Canis lupus familiaris: one gene and its partner. The protein of the gene in region 1 purifies or fractionates together with the protein of each later gene. This does not show direct contact. Links are inferred from orthologs where the notes say so. Each region holds a gene or a part of one and is shown on either strand. Other genes may lie near its edges. The genes, in order: BNIP1 and NBAS.

The links.
Region 2: the proteins of BNIP1 (region 1) and NBAS purify together in Homo sapiens (co-immunoprecipitation; 3 studies listed by BioGRID and IntAct, with this or other methods). This does not show direct contact. The link is inferred for Canis lupus familiaris from reciprocal best matches to the Homo sapiens genes BNIP1 and NBAS.

What each region holds. Positions count from the first base shown.
Region 1 is NC_049225.1:40,177,218-40,184,859, reverse strand, and holds part of BNIP1 (vesicle transport protein SEC20), read left to right. Parts: intron 1-949; coding exon 950-1,041; intron 1,042-3,840; coding exon 3,841-3,942; intron 3,943-4,724; coding exon 4,725-4,843; intron 4,844-5,054; coding exon of another isoform or gene 5,055-5,125; exon of another isoform or gene 5,126-5,154; intron 5,155-7,642. UniProt on the Homo sapiens protein: As part of a SNARE complex may be involved in endoplasmic reticulum membranes fusion and be required for the maintenance of endoplasmic reticulum organization. Also plays a role in apoptosis.
Region 2 is NC_049238.1:11,154,806-11,162,447, forward strand, and holds part of NBAS (neuroblastoma-amplified sequence), read right to left. Parts: intron 4,779-7,642; coding exon 4,576-4,778; intron 2,579-4,575; coding exon 2,489-2,578; intron 1-2,488. UniProt on the Homo sapiens protein: Involved in Golgi-to-endoplasmic reticulum (ER) retrograde transport; the function is proposed to depend on its association in the NRZ complex which is believed to play a role in SNARE assembly at the ER. Required for normal embryonic development.

The DNA of each region.
Region 1 (7,642 bases):
GAAGTTCTCAGGGGTCTCACACTGCTGAGCTTATGTCCATTGCCTGGTGTTTGGTTATTTGGGGCTGTGAGCACTCCTCTTTAGCAGACCTTATGTATGGGATTTTTGTGCAACCTGGACTGAAAGCAAGTCTCTTCAGAGGTTTTTGGATTTGCTTTTGCCATATCTCGTGGGATTATAAGTCTGGGAGCACATTTTATGTTAACTTCTCCTCATGGAGATTCTCAGACCTTTCAGAGAGAAGTGAATTATAACTCCAGACCAGTTTGAGGGTAGCTCCATGGATATACATTACATTCTCAGGAAATATTTTGTATCCCACTAGCCAACAAAAAAGGACAAGCTTCCATTCTGTCTGTGCTGGCTGACAGGCATGTACATGACAGGCATGGACACTGAAGGTGCATCCCTTTGTGGCTTCCAGCCTCAGATAGCTCAACACTTTATATGCCACCCGTATATGGGCTTTCAAACCTTCCAACTGTTTGCTACCAGTCAATAATGAAATAGGTACAGAGATTGAGAGTGAGCATTGAGACATGTGTAGCAGTTTGATATTTCCATGATGTCTCAAAGTAGAACCAGGGGCTCCTATTTAGTAATTTTTATTCCCTTTTCATTCCAGGTGGACCCCCTAGATGACAGGAGTGAATCTCCCATTGCAGAGCAGTTGAGCATCAGTCACAGGCTGACTGCTTTGGCTCTCAGTTCACTTCTCACTTTGGGGCCCTGGAGATTATCCTTACTTTCTTACACATCAGCTATATACTTATGGATGTTTGTTATATTTACCTGACATTCCTGAGTGTTCTCTGTTAGGAGGGTTTTCAAGTGCTATTGTATAACCTGCCTAGAAAGAGGAGTAGTTTGGTTTTTATATTGGCTTTTTTTTTTTTTTTTTTTTTTTGCTTTTAAAATCATTTTAATATAGATCTCTTTTCCCCCAAAGGAGCTTGAGCAGTCAGCTAAAGAGCAAGACAAAGAGTCAGAGAAGCAAGTTTTGCTTCAGGAAGTGGAGAATCACAAAAAGCAGATGCTCAGGTAGGTGGGGCCTGCGCTGGGTCACCTGCTCCCTGGGCGGCTTGTATAAAGGTTTGCCTAACAAACCTGGCTTAATGATTTAATTGTGTCATTTCTACACAAACTGAATGTCCTCTCTAGATCAGTAGTTCTCAAAGCAGGGACAAGCAGGGGTTGTTGGTAGGTCAAATTGTATATAGTTTACAAAAGCGTATTTACCATTATACTATATTTTATATTTTTAGGACAAAACCAAAAAATGATTGCTTTTGTAATACAACATCTTTTTCTGTAAGGAAATTGCTACTAGAAAAAGTTCCTACTTAAGATGGACCAAAATTTAGAAAGCTTTGAGTGGGACTTTATCTTAAAAAATGAAACAAAAAATGTAAATAAGATTATGCTATGTTAAACAAAGCGGTGGTTATCATTGTAGCAGTGGGCTAACCTTTGGTTATATAATTGAAGTATGCACTATTTCTGGATATTGGGGGGGGCTTTTCCAACAAAATTATCTGATGGCATGAAACAGCACCTGTCCCTTCACATGTGACTTGTATCATAATCATAAAGAGTGTTGTTGTGACAAAAATATTTAAGGCTCAAAAAAAAAAAAATTTAACGGCTCCATCAACTTTCCCCATCGTCTGGTAGCCAGGTCATTCTCTTTTGAAGCCCCTGTTAGTCATCATCCTCCTAGGTGTTGCTCTTTCTCCTTATTAATTTGCTCTAACTCTGTTGGATCTGTATGTCTCTCGTTTTGCCTTCAATGTGAGTAATTCTCCAGCATCATCCTTGGCAGGCAGCTACTGTGTTTATGACCCCCAGCCCTTAGGAGGAGACTGACAAACATGTGGGCATGGTAGAGGCTAGTATAAGTAGGGAGGGATGTGTGCATGGTCACCAGTGTTAAAGTGCTTGGCTCAGTCGGAGTACTTTGTGTCATGATGGCGTTTGCTTCCCTCAGCCACCAAGGATACTCACATTACAAACACTGAGTAAAGAGGACCCCTTGTATAAAGTAGAGTAAGTTACACCAGATAAAATGGGCTTAGTTAGCATGGCTAGGAGTTGAGAATGGCCATTCATGATGTAGGGTTACAGGGGAGAGAGAAAGCAGTAGATGAATACTTTGGCAGTTGTGTGTGAAAACAGTAGTTGCGCCTGCCTGGATTCTCGTGCTTATCACACCATTCAGCAAATATTTGTTTGTCTTTCTCCCCAGTAAATGTGAGCCCCTTGAGGGCAGCCACTATGGCTCATTCATCTCTGTGTCACAGGGCCCAGCAGAACTTCCTTGCTAACAATTAAAATATGTAATTGATTCTTTTAAAATATCAGGTGTGAAATGGCATAGCAGATGCTGTTCTGGTGACAGAGAGCTCGTTTTACATTTTAAGCACAGAGGTACTCTTAGAAAAATACCGTATCAGTTCACGTTTGACTTTGGTAAACATCTCAGGGGTTAGCACAATTGATGTGAACCAGCTGCCTAAGAGTTCTAGTGCTTGAGTTTGATTCTCCTAGGGGCCCAATTAACATTTTTATAGTTCATTGACAAAGGCTGCACTGCTAACCCCAGGGAGCTGTTCATCAAATTTGAGTTATCTCTCATGAGGGAGATCAGGTAAAGAATGTAAATAAATCACATCAAACTGCTAATACAGTGTGTTTATCTCGCTCATGATTGGTCTGAGTATGTAAAGAACAGCAAATCTTAAAGAAATATGGAGCAAAACCAAAGTGTTAAGTTACTATATTGTACACCTGAAAGTAATATTACACTCACTGTATGTTAACTAACTGGAATTTGTTTTTTGTTTTTTTTTTTAGATTTTAATTTATTTATTCATGAGAGAGACAGAGAGAGAGAGAGAGAGAGGCAGAGACATAGGCAGAGGGAGAAGCAGGCTCCACGCAGGAGCCTGATGTGGGACTCGGTCCCAGCACTCCAGGATCACGCCCTGACCCAAAGGCAGATGCTTTAACCGCTGAGCCACTCAGGAGTCCCACTAACTGGAATTTAAATGAAAACTTAGGGGCACCTGGATGGCTCAGTAGGCTGAACATCCAACCCTTGATTTTGGCTCAGGTCATGAGCTCAGGGTCCCGAGATCCAGCCCTGTGTTAGGCTCTGTGCTGAGCATGGAGCCTGCTTGAGATTTTTTCTCTCTCTCCCTGTGCCCCTCCCCATGCTCTTGCTCTCTCTCTCCTAAATAAATAAATAAATAAATAAATAAATAAATAAATAAATAAATAAATAAATAAATAAATAAAATTTTTTTAAATAAAAACTTAAATATTGAGGAAAACTGCCTTCCTATGATTTTTCTACTTCTCATAATATCTATTGATTGGCTAATGGGCCAGAGACTGTTGTTCTAGGTATTAGTGATCCAAAAATGAGTGAGATATGGTCCTCAAGAAATGGAACCAACTAGTACACAAGGTAGAACATGGTAAAATGGTAAAATGTTAGTGGTAACTGGACAGAACAGGGCCTCAAGTGCCCAAGGTGAGTTTGAAGTCTGAAGCCCTTGCCCGGCTGTAAGCACAGAAGTAAGTACTGTGGCCAGACTGCTCCCTCTGGCTGCCCTGGAGGGAAAGGGACAGCTACAGGCGGCTGGGCAGGGTGAGACCAGAGGTGTAGCCTAAGCTGGAGCAGTTGCCGGGGCAACCAAGAGGAGGAAATGGTGGGAGGCAGAGATGGATGACTCTGTAGGCCACTCTGGGAGGCCTTTCCCATCACTCCCTTGCCAGAAGGAAGAACTTCTGTTCTTTGATCTGACAGAAACTCATGCAAGACCCTTCTGATTCCAGCAATCAGACCTCATGGAGGAAGGCTAATCTCACTTGCAAAATTGCTATCGACAATCTAGAGAAAGCAGAACTTCTCCAGGGAGGAGACCTCTTAAGGCAAAGGTATCTGTCTTTTTGTCTTTCTGGGCCCTAATGATAGAACAGATAGCAATTGGCAAGGTGCAAAACCTGTGTAGGGAAGCCCTTCTTGTTTTCAGTGTAAAACTGGTAATTAATTTTATTATATAGGTAATATTTTTTAAAGTATGAAAGAAATACTGGCTTATTTGTAATAAATTGGTAAAATAAAGGTGTCGATGACAAAATGAACTATACTGTGATTGTGTTGTACACATTTTGATATATATTGTGTCCTCCCACCATTTTTTTTTTTTTACAGAGTCCTACCGTATATAAAACTTAGCGCCCTGCTCTTCTTCACATAGTATTATAGCACAAAGACTTGCTTGTTTTAGAAAACTCTTTAAACAAAGGTTCAAGAGTACTTAGTATTCCCTTGTATTGGCTGATCCCCCGTTTGTGTGTGTTTGCATTTCTAGTTTGTCAGTATTGTAAATAATACACAAGGGCACACCTTAGGACATAAGGCCTTGTCCACATTTTGGGTATTTCCTTTGTAGAGATTCCCAGGGATGACATTATTGGGCCAAAGGCATGAATGTTTCTAAGGCTCCTAATACTATTTCCAGATTGCCAGTTTGCATTTCTACTAGCAGTCTTTAGGAGTGTGGTGTCAGCATACCCTTGCTGGCATTGACTGTGATTATTGATACTTAAATATATATGCTATTTTGATAGATTAAAAAAATGGGATCGCATTTGAAGACGGGCGTTGTCTTATAGCCAGCTTTTGTTGACATGCCTATCCCACTCTGGACTTTTAGGAAAACCACCAAAGAGAGCCTGGCCCAGACATCCAGTGCCATCACGGAGAGCCTCATGGGGATCAGCAGAATGATGTCCCAGCAGGTCCAGCAGAGCGAGGAAGCCATGCAGACGCTAGGTAAAGCCAGATCAGGAGTTAGAAACTTCTCCCAGAGACTTCAGTTCCAGAGTCCTTGTCCTGGCACCTGCCACCATGCTCTCCCACCTTTGTCCCCATCCCCACCCTCATCCCCAAGCTTACTGACTTGTGTGGCTTCTCACTTCTTCAACACTGTGGTATTGCCCGGGGTGGGATATGTTGCTCTTACTTCTCTTTTTGGTTTTTATAGTTGTACTACAAGATCTGCACACCCCCGTCAAAATGTTTCCCCAGCAGAAGCATTCCCAAGGTCTCATGTGAAAAGCCGAGATCCCCAGGCCTTCTGGAGAGTAGGTGCTAGCAGGACTCGGGGAAGGGCCTGGGCATCTGTTTTTTTTCCTCTGGAGTTCTGTGGACCCATGTGGCCAGGCAGGTTGGGGAATCATTGCTTGGGAAGATGTTTTAGTGTATCGGCTGCTGGCTAGTCTGCAAGGGCCTCAGCTTATAATTAATACTCCCCAGTGTTATTTTTGCTGTAAGCTCCTTTTAAAAGATGCAATCAGAGGCCACAAAAGAAGGTGCTTGAGCATCTGGTTCTCTCCAGCAGCTTTCCCGTGGTGTCTCCCTTGTGATACAGAAGAGAATTGGCCCTTTTCAGGGTCCTCTGCATAAGAAAACAGAAGAGAGTGTTTACTCTCTGAAATAGTTTTGGAAGATTTATAAAGGGACAAAAGTGTCATGGTACGCAGATTGCACGAACCCACCACCCAACTTCAGCAGTTGTCAGTTCATGGCCAGTCTTGTTTCAGCTCCACCCATCCTGTGCCCCCATCTGGATTTCTTTGAAACAAATCACAGACATCATCTATAAATATTTCAATATGTCTCTTTAAAAGATAAGAGACTCTTGAAACAAAAAACAAACATAGCCAAACCACGATACCATTATCACCCCTAAAAAGAATCTGTAATTTTGAGCCACTTTTTTTTTTCAGTGCACTATTCAAACAGGCGGAAGCAAAAGGAGAACAGGCAGCTTGTCCCTAAGGCCAGCCCCTGTGTGTGAAACTTAACTGGGCATTTAGGCTCAAAACCAGCCAGTCACCTCCTCTACATACGTGCTGGGGGCAGAACTCAAGCCTTGGGATAGGCCTTGGAGAATGTGCAAAATAGGAGGCCACCTAGCCTTTGAGTTGAGGACTTTTCTGCTTTGATGCTGGTGACAGGATACCTCCCCCCCCACATATACATACATATCAGAAATAGATGATACAATTAAGTGGTGAGAAGGGTGCACAGATGCTGATGGCTTCTGGGGTGTTGAGGGCTGTTCTTGAGGCCCATTTTGTAGGAGAGAAAGCTGTTAAAGAAGAATGCAGTTGTTAACCCTTTCCTTACAGCTCTCAAATTCAGCTTGATTTAAAAGCCTACTAGGACTACAGTTTTTTTTTAAAAAGCATATTAGGGATATGATATCTGGAATTTGCTGGAATTGGGTGGACTAGTATGGGGACAGGAGTGCCAGGGAATTGGTGGTTCTTGGGTGTGGGTGTTGGGCACAAGGCATTTCACAATACTATTCTGTCTACTTTGGTGATGCTTTAAAATTCGCTATAATAGGAAGTTTAAAAAGAAAGACCTATTATATCTTTTTGAACAGGTTCTTAGGTTTTTGGAATGGCAGTAGGCATGGAGAAAGGGCCGAGAAAGATTTTTGTTATCTGAGTGTTTATTTTTCCCCCTCATCTGTCTTTATATTATAGATGCTCTGTTTCCTCTGATAATTTCTTTTTACTTACTTACTGACTTTCAATTTTGTGAAAAGGTAATATATATTATATGGTTAAGGAAAAAACCTCCAGGCCTGCATTTTCCAGTAGAAATAAAATGCGAGCTACATACTTAACTTTATTTTTTTATTTTTTTTTTCATACTTAACTTTAAATTTTCTAGTAGGCCCATTAAAAAAGGTAAAAAGAAACCTATGAATTTATTTAATCTATTACATACAATATATTACCTTTTCAGTATGCAATTAATATTAAAGACTATTGAGATATTTTGCCTTCGTTTTTTCATACTAAGTCTTTGAAATCATGTGTGTATTTTACACTTACAGACACCTCAGTTTGGTTTAGCCATATATTCTTGCTCAAGTGCCACGTGTGTTTAGGGGCTGTACAGCCCTGGACAGTACAAGAGAGAAATAAAAAGATAGCTCTCTCTTCAGACCTCCCCTTAACCCCTGGCCATCAGGTCTATTCCCCAGGGGCAATCACTGTTATCAGTTTCTTTTATGTCCTTTTGGGATCCTCCACAGATGTATAGCACAAAGCAAATTAAATATCGTTTATCCCCCTCTTTCTTACATAAATGGAATTTTCAATATGGGTTTTCACACCTCACTTTTCCACTTTTCCACTTAACAGCACGTTTTATTCTGTGGATGTTCTGATATTAGGCTTTGTGGGAGAATCTCGCCCGGTAGACCTATTTATTACCCAAGTGTCAGGCTCAGATACTCATACTCAGAAGTAAATTTGACTCCTTAAAGCACATGTACCTCCCCTTAGATTTCATACAGTGGCCAGAGCATAGATGTGATATCTTTAAAACTGCAACAGTATCCCAGGACTGAAGCACTGATATGTGTGAGGGCTTGTGGCAGGGCCCAGCCCAACTTGTTATGATCCCACGTAGAGCAGATCTGGCTCTCAGGTGTCCTGGCAGTGTATACCTCAGGTGGAAAATCTTGGTAACTCCTAGCTTCTGCCTTCAAAAAAACCTCATAGTGCCTGACAATAATCACCCAGGTTCATTTTGGGGCTGGTGGTTCTT
Region 2 (7,642 bases), on another chromosome or scaffold:
TGAGAGGGTTACTTTCAAAGGGTCTGAATCCCATGTCATTCCAAAGACCCCACTGGGGGCTACCTGGGAAGGAGAGTGACACCCTTATGGGATCTGCCACACATAGTTTTGGGAAGAGAAATGGAAGCCAAGGATTTAGGTGTAACCATGTTGGATTCAAAAAAGACTTGCCAAAAAAAAAAAAAAAGACTTGCCAGAAATGAAAGTTACGACGTTGACTTTCTTCCTTTTCTTTTTTAAGAAAGAAAGAAAGAAAGAAAGAAAGAAAGAAAGAAAGAAAGAAAGAAAGAAAGAAGCAAAGAAAAGAAGAAGAGAAAGAAAAGAAAAGAAAAGAAAAGAAAGAAAAGAAAAGAAAAGAAAAGAAAAGAAAGAAAAGAAAAGAAAAGAAAAGAAAAGAAAAGAAAAGAAAAGAAAAGAAAAGAAAAGAAAAGAAAAGTTCACTGAAGTTTCTCTGTTAAGAAGACTTTTATGCTGTGTCTCTAGAATAAAAAGTACGATCTTGCTCTGTTTCTCCATTCCCCAATGTCTTCCTCTTTGGAAAACAAAGCTTAAAAAAAAAAAGTCTGTATGTAAGAAACCCAGGTTGGATTCATCTGTATATTTGGCTGGAAATTCACTAAGAATACTACCTTGTAATCTTTTTAAGATGTCTCCACTGGAAGGGGCTTATTGCCTATCCTGATCCTGTCATCCTATGATGCCAGGCTCCAGGTCGGCCTTACCTGAAAGCAGCTGTGCTCTGACAGCAGCTCACTGGGGAGTGGCAGGCAGAGAAGCAACTGATGGGCTCTGACCGGAATGGCAGATGCTGGCCACACCCCTGGAAGGTGGCTCGGGATTCCCCACGCAGTGTCCCTGCCTGCTATGCTACCTGCTGCATCCGCAGTGGTGCAGGCGGCTTCCTCAGCCTGGGGTACCATTTCCCACCTCCTGCTCACAGACGCACATTTCATAGACCAGGACCAATGTCGCCCATGCGAATCCTGCCCTGACTTCCAGGACGATTAAGTGCTCCCTCCTCGCTCTCTGTACTGCACTCACCCCTGGGTAATATGGTAATTAGAGCAACAGGAAGGCTTGGCTCCCCTGCAAGACTGAGCTGCTCCAGTGGGAGGCTACTTCTTCCTCGTATCTAACTCCTCGTGATGCAGCAACAGAGTATGGCCCACAGTAAACACATAGATCATTTCATTTCTCTTTCGAATAAGAGGTGTAATTTAGCTTCCTTACTACTTCAAGACCCCAAAGCAAAGGGGTTTAGAAAAATGGTGCAAGGCACGAGGCTAGGTAGAGGGGCCTCGCTGCAATGCTGTCCCATATTCACCGAGATGGCCAGTCCTAGTTTCCTCCACTCAAGCCTCGGGCACAAAGCAACACACAAAAATACGCTATACAGGCATCTGAGCGCTAAATTATGATTCAGAGCCTGGCTGGGATCCTGGCTCCATGTCCTAGGCCTATGACTCCTGGCAAGGCTTCCTCTAAAAACAGCAACAACATATACAACCATCAGAAATAATCATGAGGAAATCTACAAAGATAAATGGGAAGAGTTACAGTAGCAAGTAAAGAAGACTATTCCGTGTTTACACATTGTGATTGAAGCTGTATAAAAATCTATCTGAAAAAAAAATCTATCTGTACCTGCACAATAACTAGAAGGTAATATGCAAATGAAAACAATTATATTACTGAATGAACTATGGGGCATTTTCAAAAATATTTTTTCATTATTATTATATCATATTTCCCACTTAAAAAAAGAAAACAGGGGTGCCTGGCTGGCTCAGTCGGTAGAGCATGTGACTCGATCTCAGGCTCATGTATTCCAGTCCTACATTGGGTGTAGTGATTATTTTTAAAAAATAAAATAGGTAAGAAAATTGGGGCAAGGCCTTACAGGGATGACATGGATATCAGACATATGAAAGATGTTAAGCTCTGGCAAACACAGAACCACCAACTTGTTGCTGTTCTTCCGATCACTACCACTGCACCCGAATGAAAAATTCTTTCTAAAAATGGCATTAGAGACACACACCTTTCAAGACTTATAAAGCTTGTATACTCATAGTCCTCGGGCAAGACGGACCTAATGCATAGAAAGCTTTCAAAAAAGACGATACATACATTCTAGAAAGTCTGCAGACTTAATCAGTCCAGCTAACCTCCTGAGGTGTGAATCCTTTCTCTCCTAAGGAAGCTCCAAGTAGTTCTCTCCTGGCCTCATGCAGAATGAGTGAGAGGAGACCACACTCTGCCCGGCAAACAAGGCTCTGGAGAGAAGGGAGTGACCGCCAGAGCTGACGGGGCAAGAGGACAGCTGCAGTAACCCCGTGTCCAGATGCAGAGCCTCTCTAGTGACGCGGAAAGTCCTCCGCTCTTCCTTCCAGAATGCCTTGGCAGTTTCATAAACAGTGATGTTAAAGTGATTCAGAGATTCTGAGGAGTGTCACGAGGTGAGATACACACACCATGCTAGGCTTACCCCTTGTCCACGCTGGCATGGACGGCCGCAACAACACCTTCCAGGACCTGGAGGGGGTCCCCCGACCCACCGAGGTCAGCACTACCTCCACTGTGAAGGGAGAGAGAGAGGACTGATTCAGAACAGGGCTCGGCCTCAGAAAGCAGCGTGGTGTTCACGCTCACAAGCACCCTACTGGGTTCTGGCTGGAGAAGCTGCCAACGCATATCCTCTGCGAGCGCTAAGGATAGAGAAGTGAAACCTCTTCTGCCCTGAAGGAGCTCATAATCTAGTATATGCTGGTTTTCCTATCAAGAAAATAAAATCTACTTGCATTACGTCATTTAAAAAACATTCCATGAACATTAGATAGATGAGCTATTTTAAGCATTAAATATATTATCATCTAAATTCTCCAGCTGGATTTAAAAAAAAAATAATAAAACCCAAATATTTACGTGGTACTTACCAGGTCCAAGGCACTGCTGAGTGCTTTACACACATTCTACCATTTAGTTTCGAATAGTCTACAAGATAGGTACTATTATTATGCCCGTTTTACAAATGTGTATGTCTAGGACTTAACTGGATTTTGAAAAAACAACAGGAGAAAAGAAGTTTTAGGTGAGTTTTCTGAATAATTTAAGTGATGTGATTTAAATCAACTGGTGGATTCAGTTCTTTATGTGCCTTTGTTATTTTATACCTACTAAATTTTACTAACTTTCTAAAAAGAAAATGCTATGGATGCTGTCAATAGCAATTTCTTTTCCTTTGAAAAGGTGGTAGCTGAACTCAAGTTCCCTTTCCTCCCACTGCAGAAAGATTTAATTCACATTTATTGAATGTCTTCTGTGTGCTAAGCATAATATTTATTAGGTAAGAACCAAGTCTTTACAAGTGGAACTGGGCACAGGGAAGGAGAGAGAAGTATAATTTATGTCAGAATTTTATAAATGTAAAAATATCACATATTTTAATTATTCATGACAATGTGTAATTTTTAGGAAATAAGCTAAATTCATCAAAGCACTCATTTTTCAAAATGTTTGTTTTGGTGAGGCTCATCTAAATCTTGATTCAAGGAACAGTAATAAGATAGCATAAATCAAAAGATGCAAAATACAACCAACAAGTGTCATCCTCTGAAAGAGGAAAGTGGGTGGCTTTTACAGCCACCACCACCAAAACATAATAGGCTAATAATAGAACAAAGCATTATTAATTTGACATTTGTTATTTCTTAAAAAATGTTATGATATTTTATTTCTCCCTCTCTCTCTTCAGAATTACCAGATACCGCAGATCATTAAGGTGAAAACTGTATGAGGCTGAGGTAATTAAACTGATAAAGGCTCATTTGATTTCAGTTCAGCTGTGGAAAACTGACATGCATTTAATCAAAAAGTTCCTCAAGAGCAATGCAGAATTACAAAGCAGGTTTAAAAGGAGAATACATTAAACACAACCAAATCTTGCGGCCTAATTGCATTATTCACAGAAAGCACTTGATGCCTCATTCTCTTTTGGAGCTTGGCTTTCCCCCTCGTCCCCAATCCTCCCACGAAGACACGGGCACACTGACAGAAAGCCAGCACTTCTCAGTGGTTGGTTCCACGCCATTAACTGCAGGTAAATAAAACTCTAAGACACTTAACAGATGTCTAACTTCTTCAGTATATGATTAACCTTGCTTTGTGTATTTCAAGAAGAGCTTCTGGGCACCATTTTGCAGCCTCTACAAAGAAGTGGAAGTAGAAAAGGCAAGAGCAGAACATCCACCTGGGGTCCCACGATGTCCTGACATGCAGCTACCTCCCTCACAGGCCATTTTGGCCTTTCCCTGGAAGGAGAGGGTCTAGCCGGAAGTTAGCTTTAGGGCATGTTACATATAATACCAGTGGTGAAGTATGTCCGTGGTTCTCCATTCTCAAGGTATCTTAAGACAGAAGACTCAGAAATCTTATGATCATGTTTCACTTTTATAAAGTGCTTCAGTTTATAAAACACTTCTACATACATGGTATTTTTTTCTTCATTACTGTAAAACGAGTGCTACTATTGGCACACTATCACCTCAGGTTCCCAACGAGTCTTCTCTAGCTTACCTCAACGCAGAAATGATCTTCCTTATGGCACCCTGCACCACATCCTTGGGCGAGATGTCGAGAGGGCCCACAGCCACCTGTAGCAGCTGCTGAATCATTCTTAGAGGCAGACCATCTAGACACATGGCCACAGCTTGCTCACGAAGTTTCCCTTCCTCTGATCGGGACAGATCATAGAGGTCACCGTATTTCTGCAGTATTTCCTGCAAAGATATGGCACACAACACCTGAGTTATCAAATAGGAATTCAGTGTGTCTACATGTACACAGTGAAGCATATTAAGAAGATTCTCAAACCGAATATACTAGAACTACAAACTGAAGAAAAGGCAGTGGTTAGGAAGGGCTTGGGCTCCAGAGACATGAGGCTTGAGTACAGACCCTTGCTGTATCACGTATTAGTCTGTAGGCCTTCAGTGTCTGCAAAATGAAGATGAGGACAGAGACTCTAGGGAAGAGGGGATATTGTTAACATTAAATGAGAGAGTGTAAAAGCCTCTAGGACAATGTCAGGCACAAGGTAGAGCTCACTGAAGTATAAGTTTCTCTATTATTATTACTGGGCTGCAACCACATGACAGCTCAGACCTAGGAGTATCAACTGCGCAAACCCAGGTAGTCTAGCGTGTCACCTAATTTAATGGTCCTAAAATCCTGCAAGGAGTTTTACTTAGCTCCATTTTACCAAAAAGTAAATTGGTAAAAACCAAAGATGCAAAGTAACATGGCCAAAGTCACACGGCTAGAAATTAGGGGAAGGAAGATCAGAATCCAAAAGACATCTCCCCACCTCCATGGCACACAGCCTGCCCCTCTTGGGTACTGTCTGTAAAAATGAATATGACAAATAATATATGAAATAGGCCCCAAGCCACTGGTTTTCATCATACCAAAACATGGTCACTAAGTGTTAAGAATGCTTTCCAGGTTCTGTACAGTTTCTCAAGTAATCTTGAATATACCCTCTCGACTTTCAGAACAACCATATAAAATCCAAACAATTGGTCAGTTGATGATATTAAAGAATTCCTGATAATTTTTTACTGTGATCATGTTGTAGTGGTGGTGTTTGCAAGCATCCTTTAGAAACAGACATGGAAGTATTTACAGCCAAAGTAAAAAGATGACCCGGATTTTCTTTAAAATAATCCCCAGGAAGGGGTGAGGGTATGCATGGAATAAGATAGTTCACGTTCTGATAATTGTTGAAGCTGTGAGTCAGGCACATGACCGTTCATTTTACTCTTCTCCTCACTGTGAAATTTCTTTTTTTTTTTTTTTAATATTTTATTATTTATTCATGAGACAGAGAGAGGCAGAGACACAGGCAGAGGGAGAAGCAGGCTCCCTCTGAGAAGCCTAATGGGGACTTGATCCCAGGACCTCAGGATCATGTCCTAAACCAAAGGCAGACACCCAGGTGGCCCGTGAAACTTCTAATAAAATAAAATTGCTGTGAGTTCAAAGTGGCTACTAGTATCCCTCCTGAACAAGAGGAAACTGAGGCACTGTAGAATAAAGGCATCTAGTTTAGACTGCGTTAATCTGGGGCACAGGGAATCTTCTTTCACTGGGTGTATGACTAAAGAGGTTAAAATTATGGCCTGAACTTAAAAGGGACAAATGTATGAGGCTGAAGGTTATTTCCAGTGCTTGCTATGAAAAGTACCCTAACAAAATCAAATGAGGTCCACTCTAGGAACCTGAAGAGTCTACTACACTGGACCTCCATGGTCTGACTGATGGCATTTGCAAGCAGCTACTGGTACCTTTAAATCATAGCCTCATTGAAACAAACAGCTATTTCCATTAATAATCCCCTTGGCCCCATATATGTTATTCTAATCATTCAAAGACAATACTTGTTCCAAGGAGAGGAGTGACAATTCTCCAGATCTGAGCATGGTATATTTAATAAAAAAGATAAGACAAGTCTTTAATTTTTTATACTAATAAGTATAATCACTTTTACTTGAAGAATTCAAATTTTACCCTAGTTCTCATAATTATGGATTATAGCACGGTACATGTCAGAAAGATAAAATCAAGATTGGTAAAGCCAATTTGTTCCCTGCAAAAAGCCTTCTCTATTGCTGTACATCATTTAATGTGATTCATTAGACAGGCTAATAGCACTAAAAAATACAAAATGAAATGAAACTGCTATCAAACTTTTGAATTCTTCCCGTCTTTTCCATGAGGGCTTTGAGTTTATGTGTCTCATACAAATTTTGAAGTCTTCCATTTGTTCATTATCTGAACTGCTCTCCATTGACCCATCTTTCTAGTCAGGAATTGTTCTTTATAAGCCAAGAACACAATTCAATCAACATGTACAGTTTAAGAAAAATAAAAGAGATTAGTGGCCACTTAGAGTTTCATTTACCATCAACATTAAAGGGGTAAATGAAATATTACTTAGATATCTGTACACTGTTTGCACCGATATGAAACCATTTACCGATTGATCTGTCAACGTCTCAGTTATGTGAAAAAATCGCTAAAACTCTCTTGGCTACAACAGCACAGCAGAAAAACTACAAAAGCTACAGAGAAAGGATTTCCTCATGCTGCCCTAACACACTGGGCCTCAACTCTCATCATGGGCAGCGACTCTGGACTCTTCTGAGAATATTTTTTTGAGATATCACGAAGGTCTCAACTGGAAACCAACTAGGAATAATTGTAATAGCCAAAAAAATTGGATCGATAATAAAATTATATTGGAAACACAAAATATTAAGAAAAAAAAACAGGATGAGTGCATCTAATTAAAAAAACCGAAAAACTGTTGAAGCAGGCATGGATGGCTCTTTTGGAATTTTTCTGAAAATTAGGGACAAAAAAAATCAATCATTTTTCAGTTCAGACAGCAAAACAGGCTCACAGACCACTGTCCTGATCATCTTTTCAGAGGAACCCTCCATCCCCCAGGCACCTAACGTGGGTTAAACTCAGGGGCCTTTCCCCCATCCCTCCCGCTTCTTCCCTGCCTGAGATCAATCCTGATCAGTGGCCTTAAATCCTTTTCAAAGAACTGATAACTGAATTGATAATCAAGAGGTAA